Mus musculus: one gene and its partners. The main gene of each other region encodes a partner of the protein of the gene in region 3 in a complex. Links are inferred from orthologs where the notes say so. Each region holds a gene or a part of one and is shown on either strand. Other genes may lie near its edges.

Region 1 (4,028 bases), on a different chromosome or scaffold from region 3:
TGTACTGTTTCCTATGCCCTTGTTAGAATCAGACTGTAATTCAGATCAACAAAGTAGACAAAAAACACCACCATAAAAGAAAAAAGTAACTTTGACTCTACAAACTTAAAACTAGAATTTAAAATGGTAGAAGAATATCACTTCTGAAACAAAGTATATTGTCCCTATGTATAACAAACTTTTCATACAGTTAAGTGTAAAAACATCAGCCACAATAAAATATAAAGACCTAAGTGGAAGTAGAATAGGCTATCTGGACTTTTGACTAAGATTCAATCTAAATTCCTTCTTTTTTTTTTTTTTTTTTTTGGGTTTTCGAGACAGGGCTTCTCTGTGTAGTCCTGGCTGTCCTGGAACTCATTTTGTAGACCAGGCTGGCCTCAAATTCAGAAATCCGCCTGCCTCTGCCTCCCAAGTGCTGGGATTAAAGGCGTGCGCCACCACGCCGGGCCTAAATTCCTTCTTAACAATAAGACAATATACTTCACACTGATAAAATGTATATCCAACATTACTGAAGAAGTTCAGAGATACTGTTAAGGAATCTAAGCCTGCCAAGTATGGTATTCCCCTTGGGGTAAGGCAGGGCAGTCAGTGGGATCTATCTAGCCAGGACATAGGAACAGGCGTTCCAGCCTGAATTGCATAGTTCTAGACAGCCAGGACTACATACATAGACAGCCACATAAAGACCCTGTCTCAAAAACAAACAAACAAAAGAGTCTAAGACTGAGTTAGATTTGATACTTTCCATTTACCATAGCCCTTTCTGTGACTCTAAATAAACTACGGGAACTTTATTGATTAGCAACCTTGTAGTATCTCTGTGAATCCCCAATCATATAGTCCTAACAGAAATGTTCAAGTGGCCCAGTGAGGTAAGAGGCTCATCTAAACTCCCCGGTCTCACAACTTCTACCCTCACTTTCTCTCTTCTACCAACAATGACCTCCTTGCTGTCTGTTCTCTAACACGACAGAAATGTTCTAACCTTAACTCACGGTTTCCTTTGGACCTCTGCTTCCTCCAAGCATCCACACGGCTCATCCTCACATCACTGAAGCCATAGGCCATCTGCAAGGAGGCCTTACCTAACCAGCTTCTCTCTCACTTTGGTCTCTACACCCTTTACCTCACATTATTCTCCACAACCCCGTGACCTTATAACGAATTGCACTATACCGCTGTGGGGTTTGTCTTAACCCAGGGGAGGGAGCCTCCACTGTTCTACTGCCTCCTACTCCACTGCAAGCACAGAAGCTAGGAAACTGTTTAGCAAGTCGGCACTCCTGATGTATTAGGACATTCTCTCAGGTACTACTGGCAGAAACCTGGGGCTCCACTATATGGGATTCGCTTGGTTGTCTTAACATTCCAAGGGAGGAAGCTAACCCAATTAAACTTGGGGGAGGGAGGGCTTTTTTTCTCAACGATGTCAGCATTTATCTGTGTGTATCACCTCTGAGACATTAGCAGTTGACAAAATAAACATCATCATGAACTACTGGTGAGCACAATATCTCATTTAGCCCCCCGTAGAAACCAAATGGCTTAGTATTATCCACAGTCCACGCTTAGGTTTAAGAAGTCATATGACCCTGACAAGATCACATAGTAAATAATCGAGATGTCGAGCTTCGAACCTAAACCCTTCGGTTCTAAAGTTTTTTCTTGCCTTAACCCTTTGGACCTAACACTAACAGCTCCAAGTGTGTTCTTGAAAGGCAATAATGGTGCAACAAAACAAAATTTATGGCAACACAACGACGTCCTTGCCGGCGACCATCAAAACTGACATGAGAATTAATAATCTGCTCGGGTTTTCCTGCACTTTCTTATAAGGGAAATATGCTTAAAGCCAATCCAACAAAACACCCCGTGCCTGTTTATTAGTGACCTCTGGGGTGTTGGTATTCTTTTTTTGAAGCCTAAAAGAGGGGAATCAGCGGGTGGCAGGTGGAGGAGAAGGGCTCAGATTGCAATACATCCGACCTCTGTCATAGCTTTGTTCTTTTCCTGTCTTCCCAGGGTCCTTTCCAAGTACACCCTGGAGGGCTAAAAGGAAAACACTGGTCCACTAGATATATCTCCTCCACTAAGTGATCCTAAGAGGCAGCAGCAGACAGACACACGTGCGGTTTCCATGATCAGTAGTGAGGGATTAAGTCCTCAGTGTCGCGGGACCCCAGGTCGGATTTGCTCACGGGATTCACCAGGCCTTCCTTTCCCATGACTGAAGGAGATGGGGTAGCAGGGAGGCCGTCGCTTTCCCGAAGCCACTATCCACAACCGAGCCAGCAGCCTCCCTTTGGGGCTCCCCGAGCCCTCCCGGGGAGAAAGGATTCCTATCCGTTCCCGGGAGACTGAAGGCGAGCCCGGCCTCGGTTCTCACCCGGACGCAGTGGCCAGGCCGAGAGCACTTACCATCGTTCTCGTAGCTGTGCCGCCTCCGCGACATGCTGCTTGCTGGTGCGCAGCCGATCTGAGTTGCTAGCCGCCTGCAACCCCAGAACCGTCGGGCTGCCGGCCGGCCGGTGCGCGGTCAGCGGCGAGGCGCGCGGACTGAGCGGCGCGCAGGCGCACTCGCTTACGACGCCTGCCGGAAGCGCGTGCAGAGGGGCACCGGATGGGCTCCGCAGTGGAAGGCCGGCGTCTGCAAGTCCAATTGCGGCCGCCTCCTCCGGCTTTCCACCCCGGGCCCTTCTGGACAGCGAGCTAAATTATCCGGGCCGCAGCGATCCCGCCTCGGCTTTATACAGGCCCGGCGGGATTTTCCCGGCGGCCCCTGCGCCGACGACTTAGGAGACTTCCGGAGAAAGGTGACGGCTCAGGGACTCTCTGCGCACGCGCGCGCCGGGGGGCGTGGGCTCGAGGGCGGGGAGCAGCGCCAAGTTGGTGAAGGGAGACCCAGGAAAGGCCTAGGGTTTGCGGGTAGGTGTTCTCTCTTTCTCTCTCGCCATCCCGCTGTAGACGCCTCGGGAGACCTGAGCGGGGAGGAGGGCAAGCCACTTTCAGCGGTAGGGAATCCAGGCCCGTCCGGCTGAATCTGCTCACTGTAGTCCTACTGCCTACTTCTCCCAGCTGACGGACGCCCCAGCTACTGATCGGTGTGGTTCCAATTGTTCTATTCCTCTGCACGTGTACAGTATGTGGACGTCCTCTGCCCTGTGATGGACACCAAACTGTCTTGTCCATGGTCTAGCCCAAACTTTTCCTTCAGTCTTACCTGTTACAGTAAATGGCCGTTTCGGTAGTTTGCTTAAATCCAAGAATTTAGGGAGGAGTCATTAGCTCCTTCACTTCCTGTGTTACAGTTTATCCACTAACACTGCCTGCTATACTCTGAGAGCAAGTCTAGTCAAACTTATTTACTATGCTTAAAACTCTTCACAGACTTAAAGCAATATTTTATGTATTTGTAAGTCTGTACATCATCCTGGAACTGGAGTTTCAGACTCTCTGTGAGCAAGGAGGAGAGTGCGCGGGAGCGGGGTGGGGGTGCTGAATCCCGGGTCTTCTGCTAGAGCAGTAAGCACTCTTAACCAGTGAGCCATCTTGCCATCTTTCCGGCTCTACTTCTCTTTGTTTATTTTAAAGATTATCGTTTTTCTATTCTTTTCATTTATTTATTCGTACATGCAAGCAATCCATCTTTCCAGGAATTTCCACTGCGAATTCCAAACTATGGCTTCTTGGGTTCTGTTCCCGTCATTGTGTGTAAACCACCATGTTCTTCTGCTAAAGTCCAGCTTGTTCACATTTTAGGAATCAAGACTTATTTTCTTTATCTGTTGGTCTCTGCTCTGAAATTTACATGACTAACTGTCAGGGACCTACAGAGTTATTTCTCTGACTCCTCAACTCTTGCTTTATTTCATTCAGCAAGTACTATATTGTATTAATTAACATTTGTCACCGTCTGTACATGGGACAACGAGACGGTGTTCAGGATACTGAAGCCCTAAGTGACCCTCTCAGGAATGATCACAGGTACTGTAGTCTGACGGACTTAATAGCAAAGGGCGAGT
Region 2 (4,095 bases), on a different chromosome or scaffold from region 3:
CTTGGGTCCTTTCAAGAGTAGCATGTGGACTTAACCACTGAACCATATCCCCAGCTCTGTGGTTTTATTTTTTAAGTTAGTTCATTTCTCTTTGTGTGTGTGTGGGGGGGGGGGGGGGCGGTGCACACCAGAATGTAGTAAGCCCTTGGTGGCCAGAGGTATCAGGATCCTTGAAACTGGTTGTAAGATACCCAATTCGCTAGGAACTGAACGGGGGTCCTCTGGTAGAGTAGTACTTGAGCCATCTCTCCAGCCTCTGATTTTTGAGACAGGATTTCATGTAGCTTTGGTTGCACTGAACCTGCTATGTTAACCAAGGGTGACATCGAACTTCTGATCCTCCTACCTCTACCTTCCAAGTACTGGGGTTACAGGCGTTCGCCACCACTCTGGGTTTATGTACAGCTCAAGATCCACCCAAGGGTTTCACACATGCAAGGCAAGCATTCTACCTACTGAGCTATGTCTACTCAGCCCAACTGTTCTGTTCTGGGTTTTGGGTTTTTTGTTTTTGTTTTGAGACAGGACCACATAGTCCAAGCTGCTTTCAAATTCCTGATAGTCTTACTACCATCTCCCTCAAATGCCTTGATAACAGGCATGGGCCATCACACCCATCTCCCAAGTTACAGTTTTTTTGGTTTGAGTTTAGTATTTTATGTGTATGGGTGTTTTGCCCGCACCCTGCATGTCTGTGCACCATGTGCCAGCCCAGTGCTTTCGGAAACCAGAATAGGGTATCAAATCTCCTGGCACTGGAGTTATAGATGTTTCGAGACATCATCTGGGTGCTGGGAATTGGCTCCAAGTCCTGCAGAACAGCCTGTGCTAACTTCTGAGCCAGCTCTCTAGCGCTCCAAGTTACAGTTTTAAAAACCAAGAACATGCAGCTATACACAAGAAAATAGTATTTCTGTCTGCCCCTGGGGAAGCTCAAAGGACTGCAGATCTGAGAGTTTTATTTCATTCTAAGGAATGTTATGAGGTAGGCCCTGATATATCATTCCCATTTTACACATGAGGAAAAACAATTGAGTCTCCTAGGATGAAACACTATATAGTAGCTTCAGCCAGAATTCAAACTCAGTATCGAGCTAAGCATGGTGGTGCACTGTTGCGGCCGTCTAGATTCCTCTCTTACAGCTTGAGTAGCCATATCAGTCGAACCGTTCATGTTGCGAGCTGCTGGTGGCCGCAACAGTGCACTCCTTTAATCCCAGCAGAAGCAGGTGGACCTCTGGTCAGTTCAAAGCCAGCCTGTTTTACATGGTGAGTTCCAGGTCAGCCAAGGCAATATAGTAAAACCTTGTCTCAAACAACAACAACATTATAATAAAATAAAAATTTTAAAAACCTCTGGTCTTATTCCCACTGCCACACTGTCTTAAGACTGTTACAGGACTGAACAGGTGAAGTCTATGGACCAACAGACACTGTGTTAAAAACAAACAAAAACAAGGTTTTAGAACTTTAGAGGAAACATCTGCTTTTTACCTGTGCAGGCTGATCTCAACCTTACGATATTTCTACTAGGACTACAGATGTCCAGCACCACACTTGGCTATCAGGTGCAGTTTGTACTGCAACTCTGTAAAACGCAGAGTCGATAACTTCACTGTAACTTAATTTCACACTTAACAATGCACTGACACACTGCATTTAGAATACACTAGAAAATGCACATGACACAAACTATTACTATCTGAAGAGAATTACGGGCTTTCTATGTATATGAGTACATTGTAGCTGTCGTCAGACACACCAGAAGAGGGCATCAGGTCCCATTACAGATGGTTGTGAGCCACCATGTGGTTGCTGGGAACTGAACTCGGGACCTCTGGAAAAGCAGACAGTGCTCTTAACCACTGAGTCATCTCTCCAGCCCCGAGTTACAGGCTTTTGACAGCAAATGAATGACTCCTCCCCTAGTTTTAATCTTTCAGTGTGCTTTAAATTCAAACTGGTTAGTTTTGATGTGGACCTGTTCAAAGCAATGAGAACTGTAGACGTGAAACTCTTAGCAGACACACAGCAAACATTTTAAAATTAGGCTAAATTTCTTTTTGTTTCTGTTTGTTTGTTTTTCGAGACAGAGCTTCTCTTCAGCCACTGGCTGTACTAGATTTTGTCATCCAAACAATCTTAAGGCGACTCGTGTGACTTGTCCCGATGCCCGTCAGACAGCCACAAACGGGAACCCAACTCTAAGTCTCCCACTTACTGCCAACTTTTTGTAGGGCTGTCTTACAGCAGAAAGGAACGAAGTACCAAAGGGCAGTGTTTAGCTTACTAAAAACAAAACCCGCTCTAGTGTCTGGTCAGTCGCCACAGGGATCCCTCCTCATTACAGTCCCTTTCCCAAGCAAGACAAGCCCATCAAACAGGGGCCACCGCCACATCTCCCCGGGTGCTGCAAGGACCTGTGAAATAAAGTGTTAGATGCCCTGGGAGATAAAGTGGCTTCGGTGACATTCATGCCCCGCTCGGAACCCCTTCGCATTTTGGGCCCCAGGAGATCAGGAGGGAAGACATAGTAAGACAAGTGTAAACCGTTTCTCCGTTTCTTAGAGCCCAAAGGCTCCCCATCTCGTGGCCCGGTCCGGCCTGGCCCGCCTCACCCGAAAGTGCTGGTCCCGGTACTCGCTGAGTTCCACGTAGGAGTCGCTGCGCAGCGCCTTCAGTAAGCCACCCGACATGATGCAGAAACACCAAACCCGACACGGCCACGGCCGGGAGAACCAAGCGGCGGGCGGCGGAAACGGAAATGCGGGCGGCGTGCTCCAGAACCACGGGGCGAGCCGTGTCGTCATCATACAGCGCCGGCTAGTCCGTCGTCGGGCGTGGCCGTCCGGAAGGCGAAGGCAGCGAGCGTCGGGTTCCGTGGCGCGGGGAGAGCCATGGTCTTCCGGCGGCTGCTGGCGGCCCTGCTGCACAACCCGCAGCTGGTGGAGCGGCTGTCCGAGTCGCGGCCCATCCGGCGGGCGGCGCAGCTCACAGCCTTCGCGCTGCTACAGCTACAGCTGCGCGGCCACGATGCAGCCCGCCGCCTGCGCGCCCTCGCGGATCAGCCGCCCGGTGCCCTGCGTCGCCGCGTCGTGAGGTTCAAGGACACTTTCACCGAGGAACTCCGCCGTGGCGTCCGGGACCGTCCAGGGCAGCAGAAGGGTCCGGGCGCCAAAGCGTAAGCACGGACTGGACCCTCCCGGGCCGAGGTCACGTACCCGTCCCTTCAGTGATCTACACCGACCTCAGCAGTCACGAGTCATCTCCAGGACGCTACGCTGCTTCGAATCCTAACTCGGATTGTCCTACAGATGCCTAAAGTCAAATGGACATGTGCCCGGTAGTCCTGCAGACGTAAAGACCTCGAGGCCCACCAGTGATAGAGAATCTAGACCATAACAGCACGACTGAGAGTCATGGACAATCAGAAAGCAAGCCTGCCGTCTGCAAGCAGGACTGAAGCTGAATTCCTGCTGCTGCATCTGCACTGGTGCAGGAGAATACCAGGGGAGCTTGTAAATGGAACGACAACCCCGAGGTTGCCAAAATCCTTCATTAAATGTGTAAGCTGATTAATAGTCTGAATGTGGTATTTCTCAGACAAGGAGGAATGCGGGGGACTCTAAGATCTTGTTAATGATAGTTAACGCGTTAAGCGTCTGTGTTGGTATTTGCTTTCGAGATCTGTGTGGCTTGTGACTTAAAATCCCATTCTGTGAAGAAATGGAGGCCACTTTCCAAGTAGCCCAAAGCCTTGCAGAGTGTAGAGAGCCCAGGGACTATTGGTCACTCCCTCCACTTTACAGCTCAGGAACTGCCCTATCTCTCACCACTAAGCATTAAGGCCGCTGATCCCATAGCACATGACGTTTCTCTTCTTCCCCATTTTGAAGTTCGGTTTGGGGTATTCACTATGGTCAGCTAACTGAACTGTGATTAGTAATTGTACTGGCTTGTTGTGTGTGTCAACTTGACACAGCTGGAGTTATCACACAGAAATGAGCCTCCCTTGAGGAAATGCCTCCATGAGATCCAGCTGTAAGACATTTTCTCAATAGGTGGTGATCAAAGGGGGAAGGGCCCATTGTGGGT
Region 3 (4,458 bases):
GCTGGCATGACCCCATTACTTTTCCAGAGGAACAGTTGCTCCCTGTGAAGGATGTCAAAGCTCTGTTTGTATCTGAGCAAGGGAAGAGCCTGACTCGGAAGGAGGTGTACATCAAGAATGGGGACAAGGTGAGAAGAGGATTCTGGAGAGGGTCACATAGGTCTCATTCCTCCCTTAGCTAGCTAGCTTTTTCACCTTTGTTGCCTACAGAAAGCCAGTTGTGAGAGAGATGCTACAAAGGCCCAAGGCTATGAGAAGGTCAAAGATGCCTCTGAGGTGGTCACTCCACGGTTCCTCTGCACAGGAGGGGTGGATCCCTATGCTGACCCCAACACATGCAAAGGTGAGGTGGCTCTCTGGCTATGCTGCAAGTCCACAGGCCCAGCATCTTTCCCCTACAGCTTCTCTCTTCTACAGGAGATTCCGGGGGCCCTCTCATTGTTCACAAGAGAAGCCGCTTCATTCAAGTGAGTGGTCCCCTCTCTAGTCCCTTAGGGAGATGCCCAGGAGTCACAAAAAGAAAGCCTGCTGTACATGGCTGGAAAAGGGGGCTGGAAAAGGGGGCTGGAAAAGGGGGCAGAACAGGGCCCACCTCATCTGACAGCTATGTTCTTAACTGGTCAGTGAATGCCAAGTGTCTGGCTTATGTGCACCACAGAAGACAGGGGGAGCTAGGCTCCCAGTGCACTTCTTTAGGCCAGCTTGGAAGCTTTCTGGGATTATTAGTGTGTCAAGTGACCCATGGCATACCCTTATCTACACAGGTTGGTGTGATTAGCTGGGGAGTAGTAGATGTCTGCAGAGACCAGAGGCGGCAACAGCTGGTACCCTCTTATGCCCGGGACTTCCACATCAACCTCTTCCAGGTGCTGCCCTGGCTAAAGGACAAGCTCAAAGATGAGGATTTGGGTTTTCTATAAAGAGCTTCCTGCAGGGAGAGTGTGAGGACAGATTAAAGCAGTTACAATAACAAGTGTGTTCCACATCTTTTTGGGGTAAGGGCGTGCACTGGTTAACATCAACACTGACAGCCGCTTTTGAAGGCTTAACTCCAATCCCAAGTGCTGAAAGACTAGAGGCTGACGGAGGTGAAAAGCTTCTACCCCAGGATTTTACTGAGACCAGCTTGGGGGCATATGAGGCACAAGGAATCCAGCTTCATGTCCTAGAAGCCATCCACAAGGTTTCCTATAGATCGTCACTGTACACAATCTGGGTCCTCTTGTCTCGATGGCAACCCTTAGGGCTGTTCTGGACAGCTAAGGAGGGAGGAAAGTGACAGTTAAGTGAAGCACCAGTGGCGTTAGACCTGGGGTCCAGAGCCCTGGCCCTGGTCCACCAGGGCTTACTCTGCCCTCTGGTGGCCATAACCTCACTGTGGCTTAGAAAATCCAGAATGTTAACACAGTTAGAGATGTGACTATGATAACATCACAAATACATGGAAATTAAAAGATCAGAATGTTTCTGTACCTTGCTGGTACACTGGTCAATTCTGGTTCCTTCCTAGTGTGTGCAAGGACTTTGCTTACTCCTTCCTCAGAAAAGTTTGTTTTGGGTAGAATGGGCTGTCCACACTGAGAGACCCCATGAGGACCTCTCCGAACTCAAGTGTTCAGCTTTTCTTTCCTCATACTGCTCATCCCTCCCAAGGATTCCCTGTGGGGCTAAGAGACAGGCCTCCTCTTTGGTCTTATACTCTTTTCAGAGCCTCTCAGCCCACAGCCCAGAGCTTCTGGGGTTGTTCTTAGCTTGGACTCTTCTTCATGGCTCCTTTGCTGCAGACTTAACTTGGGCCTAGCAAGCCAGGACTGCTGGAGGTATGCTAGGCACAGACAGTAGAGCCTAGCTTCCTAATGCTCTTGATTCTCTAAACCAGTCTCAGGTCACTTTTCAATCTCCAAAATCCCCACCTCTGATGGTTCCAGATACACAGAACACTAATCTATGTTTCCATGCCTGGTCTTCTACTTGAGGTCCAGACCCACAATACCAAGTTCAGGTAACACTCCAGCTCAGAGGCGACAACTAGGCTTCTGCTTTCCTGTCTGTGACAGAGGACCCTGTTCTGTTTTTCCAAATGGCTTTTCTTTTCTTTCTTTTTTTTTTTTTGGTTTTCTGAGACAGGGTTTCTCTGTGTAGTCTTGGCTGTCCTGGAACTCACTCTGTAGACCAAGCTGGCCTTGAACTCAGAAATCCACCTTCCTCTGCCTCCCAAGTGCTGGGATTAAAGGTGTGTGCCACCACTGCCCTGCCCAAATGGCTTTTCAAGACAAGATTTCTCTGTGTAGCCCTGGCTGTTCTGAACTCTGCTCTGTAGACCAGGCTGGCCTTGAACTCACCTGGCTCCACCTCCCACGTGTTGTGGCTGAAGGTGTGTGCCACCACTGAGAGGGCACATTTCAGTGCTGCTCTCCTTCCCTCACCTGACAGATGCCCTGGCAATTCTTCATCCACTACCTACGTGAAGATCCTGACCTTGGGCACTTTAGGGAACTCAAGGAAGTGCTATGCTGCAGAGAGGGGAAGGGAGGAGCCTCATCCTTACCAAGGGAGCCCCAGACAGATTTGCCAGTAGCAGCGTCCAGCATGGGCTGTTTTCGGGCTATGTTGACTTTAAGCTGCACAGATTCCACCTGGGTCCCATTGAGCTGTGGGACAAGAGGGGAGGGGACAGAGGACGGGCATTACATGGAGCCAGGTGCTGCTGCCCTGGGAGACCAACCAGGAATGTGAGGATGAAGGTTTTCTCAGTCAGGAGAAAAGTTTCCTCTAGAAGCAGATATTGAAAAGAAGAAGCAGGAGGATGACAGGAGGGATGGGAGGAACGGTCTGAGAAGTCCCAACCTCAGCAACAGCCTGATCTGCAGACTCCATCTTCTCGTAGGTGACGAAGGCACAGCTGGGTGAGAGAGAAAGCAGAGTCAGGAAACTCCATGGAGACCAGGCAGCTCCCTCCCCGGGATGTTGCTCATGCTTACTTTCTGGGTGGGTCCATGGAGAGGTCGATGATATTTCCAAAGGGAGAGAAGGCCCCGCGGAGGAGGGTGGGCGTCATGTCCTCTCCATACACATACAGTGTGTTCCCCTTTCGAGGGGCCCTCCGTTCGGGGAATGAGTCTGACCCTGTGGGTTAGGAACCACAGTCATTACTGGGTCCACCTCACCTTCTACTTAGCAGGACCCACCTAAACCCTGGCTAAGATCACTCACTGCGGAAAGGGCCCTCTCGGTCTCGTTCCCGATCTCGGTCCCGGTCTCTGTCTCGATCCCGGTCTCTGTCTTTGTCTTTATCCCGGTCTCTGTCTCGATCTCGATCTCGGTCTCTGTCTCTCTCTTTGTCCCGATCCCTATCTCGGCTCCGGTCATGACTTCGGTCCCTGCTGCGGCTTCGGGGAGGGGAGGCTGAGGAGCGGGCGCTACCATGCTCTTCATAGCTCCAGTCAAAGCCTCGAGGTGGGCCATCACCAGCCCCGGGGGCCTCTGCTTCTTCTCCATCTTGTCCCAGTTCCCGAAGCCGATCACTAGAAGACACAAAGCTGGGGAGAGGCAGACAGTAAGGACCAAAGGGGGTTCGACCTTCTTCCAAACCTTGTGGAGTCAACACTGCCTCTGCAGCTGGCTCCTCCCACTCTAGCCCTGAACTTTCCAGTCACTCTGGCCTCTGACCCCACACCAAACGGTGCTCTCTCTGACCTTTCATACAGAGATTTCCTCTGGGGACGTCTGGATGGCTAAGGGGAAAGAAAAGACAGAGAACAATTCAAATGATTCCCAGGTGCCGGAGTTGGTCCACAGTGTGTGGGTCTCTTCTTGTCCCCAACCCTGGCCCCACAGAAACCATTACCTCCTGTAGGTCCTCATCAGCAGACATGCTCCTCTGGAACGGCTGGAAAGTGGGGACAGGCCCCTTCTCTGGGTCCTGGAAAAGGGCAGATACCCATGTTAGCGTGGATCAGGAGAGCTCTTCCCTCTCTCTTCTCTGCTTCTCTTTTGCTCCTGTCACTCTTATGATGATGTGCTGGACCGGTTGACTGGTTTTTCAAGATAGTGCTTCTCTGTGTGGCCCTGGCTATCCTGAACTTGCGCAGTAGAACCAGGCTGTCCTTTATGTTAGAGCTCTCGGCCTGTCTGCTCCAAGTGCTGGGATTAAAGGTGTGTGCCACTACATCAGCTGATGTGAGTAACTGGTTTCATTACTCAAACCTCCCTTCAATCCAAGAAGCACAAATATGGAAAAGAGATGTGGGCATCACCCAGGCTTTTTTTTTTTGTTTTGTTTTTTTTTGTTTTGTTTTTCGAGACAGGGTTTCTCTGTATAGCCCTGGCTGTCCTAGAACTCACTCTGTAGACCGGGCTGGCCTCAAACTCAGAAATCTGCCTGCCTCTGCCCCACAAGTGCTGGGATTAAAGGCATGTGCCACCACACTGGGCTCAGGTTTCTTTGTGATAGACAGA

What was found. The genes of interacting proteins can lie anywhere in the genome.
Region 1: the proteins of Nelfe (region 3) and Ncbp1 are in contact, whole or in part, in a crystal structure (PDB 5OOB), measured with the Homo sapiens proteins. The link is inferred for Mus musculus from reciprocal best matches to the Homo sapiens genes NELFE and NCBP1. Residues at the interface, in NP_002895.3 of Homo sapiens: Arg362, Ile365, Val366, Tyr367, Ser368, Asp370, Val371, Tyr372, Gly379, Phe380; in NP_002477.1 of Homo sapiens: Tyr461, Lys511, Lys557, Ser558, Ser560, His561, Ser564, Lys568, Ile609, Arg610, Gln612, Cys616, Lys647, Met648, His651, Glu705.
Region 2: the proteins of Nelfe (region 3) and Ncbp2 are in contact, whole or in part, in a crystal structure (PDB 5OOB), measured with the Homo sapiens proteins. The link is inferred for Mus musculus from reciprocal best matches to the Homo sapiens genes NELFE and NCBP2. Residues at the interface, in NP_002895.3 of Homo sapiens: Lys361, Arg362, Gln364, Ile365, Val366, Tyr367, Asp369, Tyr372; in NP_031388.2 of Homo sapiens: Phe49, Tyr50, Thr51, Thr52, Glu53, Gln55, Lys68, Ile69, Ile70, Met71, Leu73, Lys77, Lys78, Thr79, Ala80, Asp107, Glu121, Gln124.

What each region holds. Positions count from the first base shown.
Region 1 is NC_000070.6:46,137,283-46,141,310, reverse strand, and holds the start of Ncbp1 (nuclear cap-binding protein subunit 1), read right to left. Parts: upstream 2,801-4,028; 5' UTR 2,459-2,800; coding exon 2,425-2,458; intron 1-2,424. UniProt on the Homo sapiens protein: Component of the cap-binding complex (CBC), which binds cotranscriptionally to the 5'-cap of pre-mRNAs and is involved in various processes such as pre-mRNA splicing, translation regulation, nonsense-mediated mRNA decay, RNA-mediated gene silencing (RNAi) by microRNAs (miRNAs) and mRNA export.
Region 2 is NC_000082.6:31,947,251-31,951,345, reverse strand, and holds the start of Ncbp2 (nuclear cap-binding protein subunit 2), read right to left. Parts: upstream 2,801-4,095; 5' UTR 2,697-2,800; coding exon 2,619-2,696; intron 1-2,618. Other genes in the region: 0610012G03Rik (hypothetical protein LOC106264), read left to right, coding at 2,898-3,185. UniProt on the Homo sapiens protein: Component of the cap-binding complex (CBC), which binds co-transcriptionally to the 5' cap of pre-mRNAs and is involved in various processes such as pre-mRNA splicing, translation regulation, nonsense-mediated mRNA decay, RNA-mediated gene silencing (RNAi) by microRNAs (miRNAs) and mRNA export.
Region 3 is NC_000083.6:34,852,889-34,857,346, reverse strand, and holds the end of Nelfe (negative elongation factor E), read right to left. Parts: intron 3,923-4,458; coding exon 3,848-3,922; intron 3,735-3,847; coding exon 3,697-3,734; intron 3,540-3,696; coding exon 3,214-3,539; intron 3,127-3,213; coding exon 2,982-3,126; intron 2,903-2,981; coding exon 2,848-2,902; intron 2,652-2,847; coding exon 2,549-2,651; intron 1,260-2,548; coding exon 1,189-1,259; 3' UTR 975-1,188; downstream 1-974. Other genes in the region: Cfb (complement factor B isoform 1 precursor), read left to right, coding at 28-128, 211-343, 418-467, 765-920. UniProt on the Homo sapiens protein: Essential component of the NELF complex, a complex that negatively regulates the elongation of transcription by RNA polymerase II.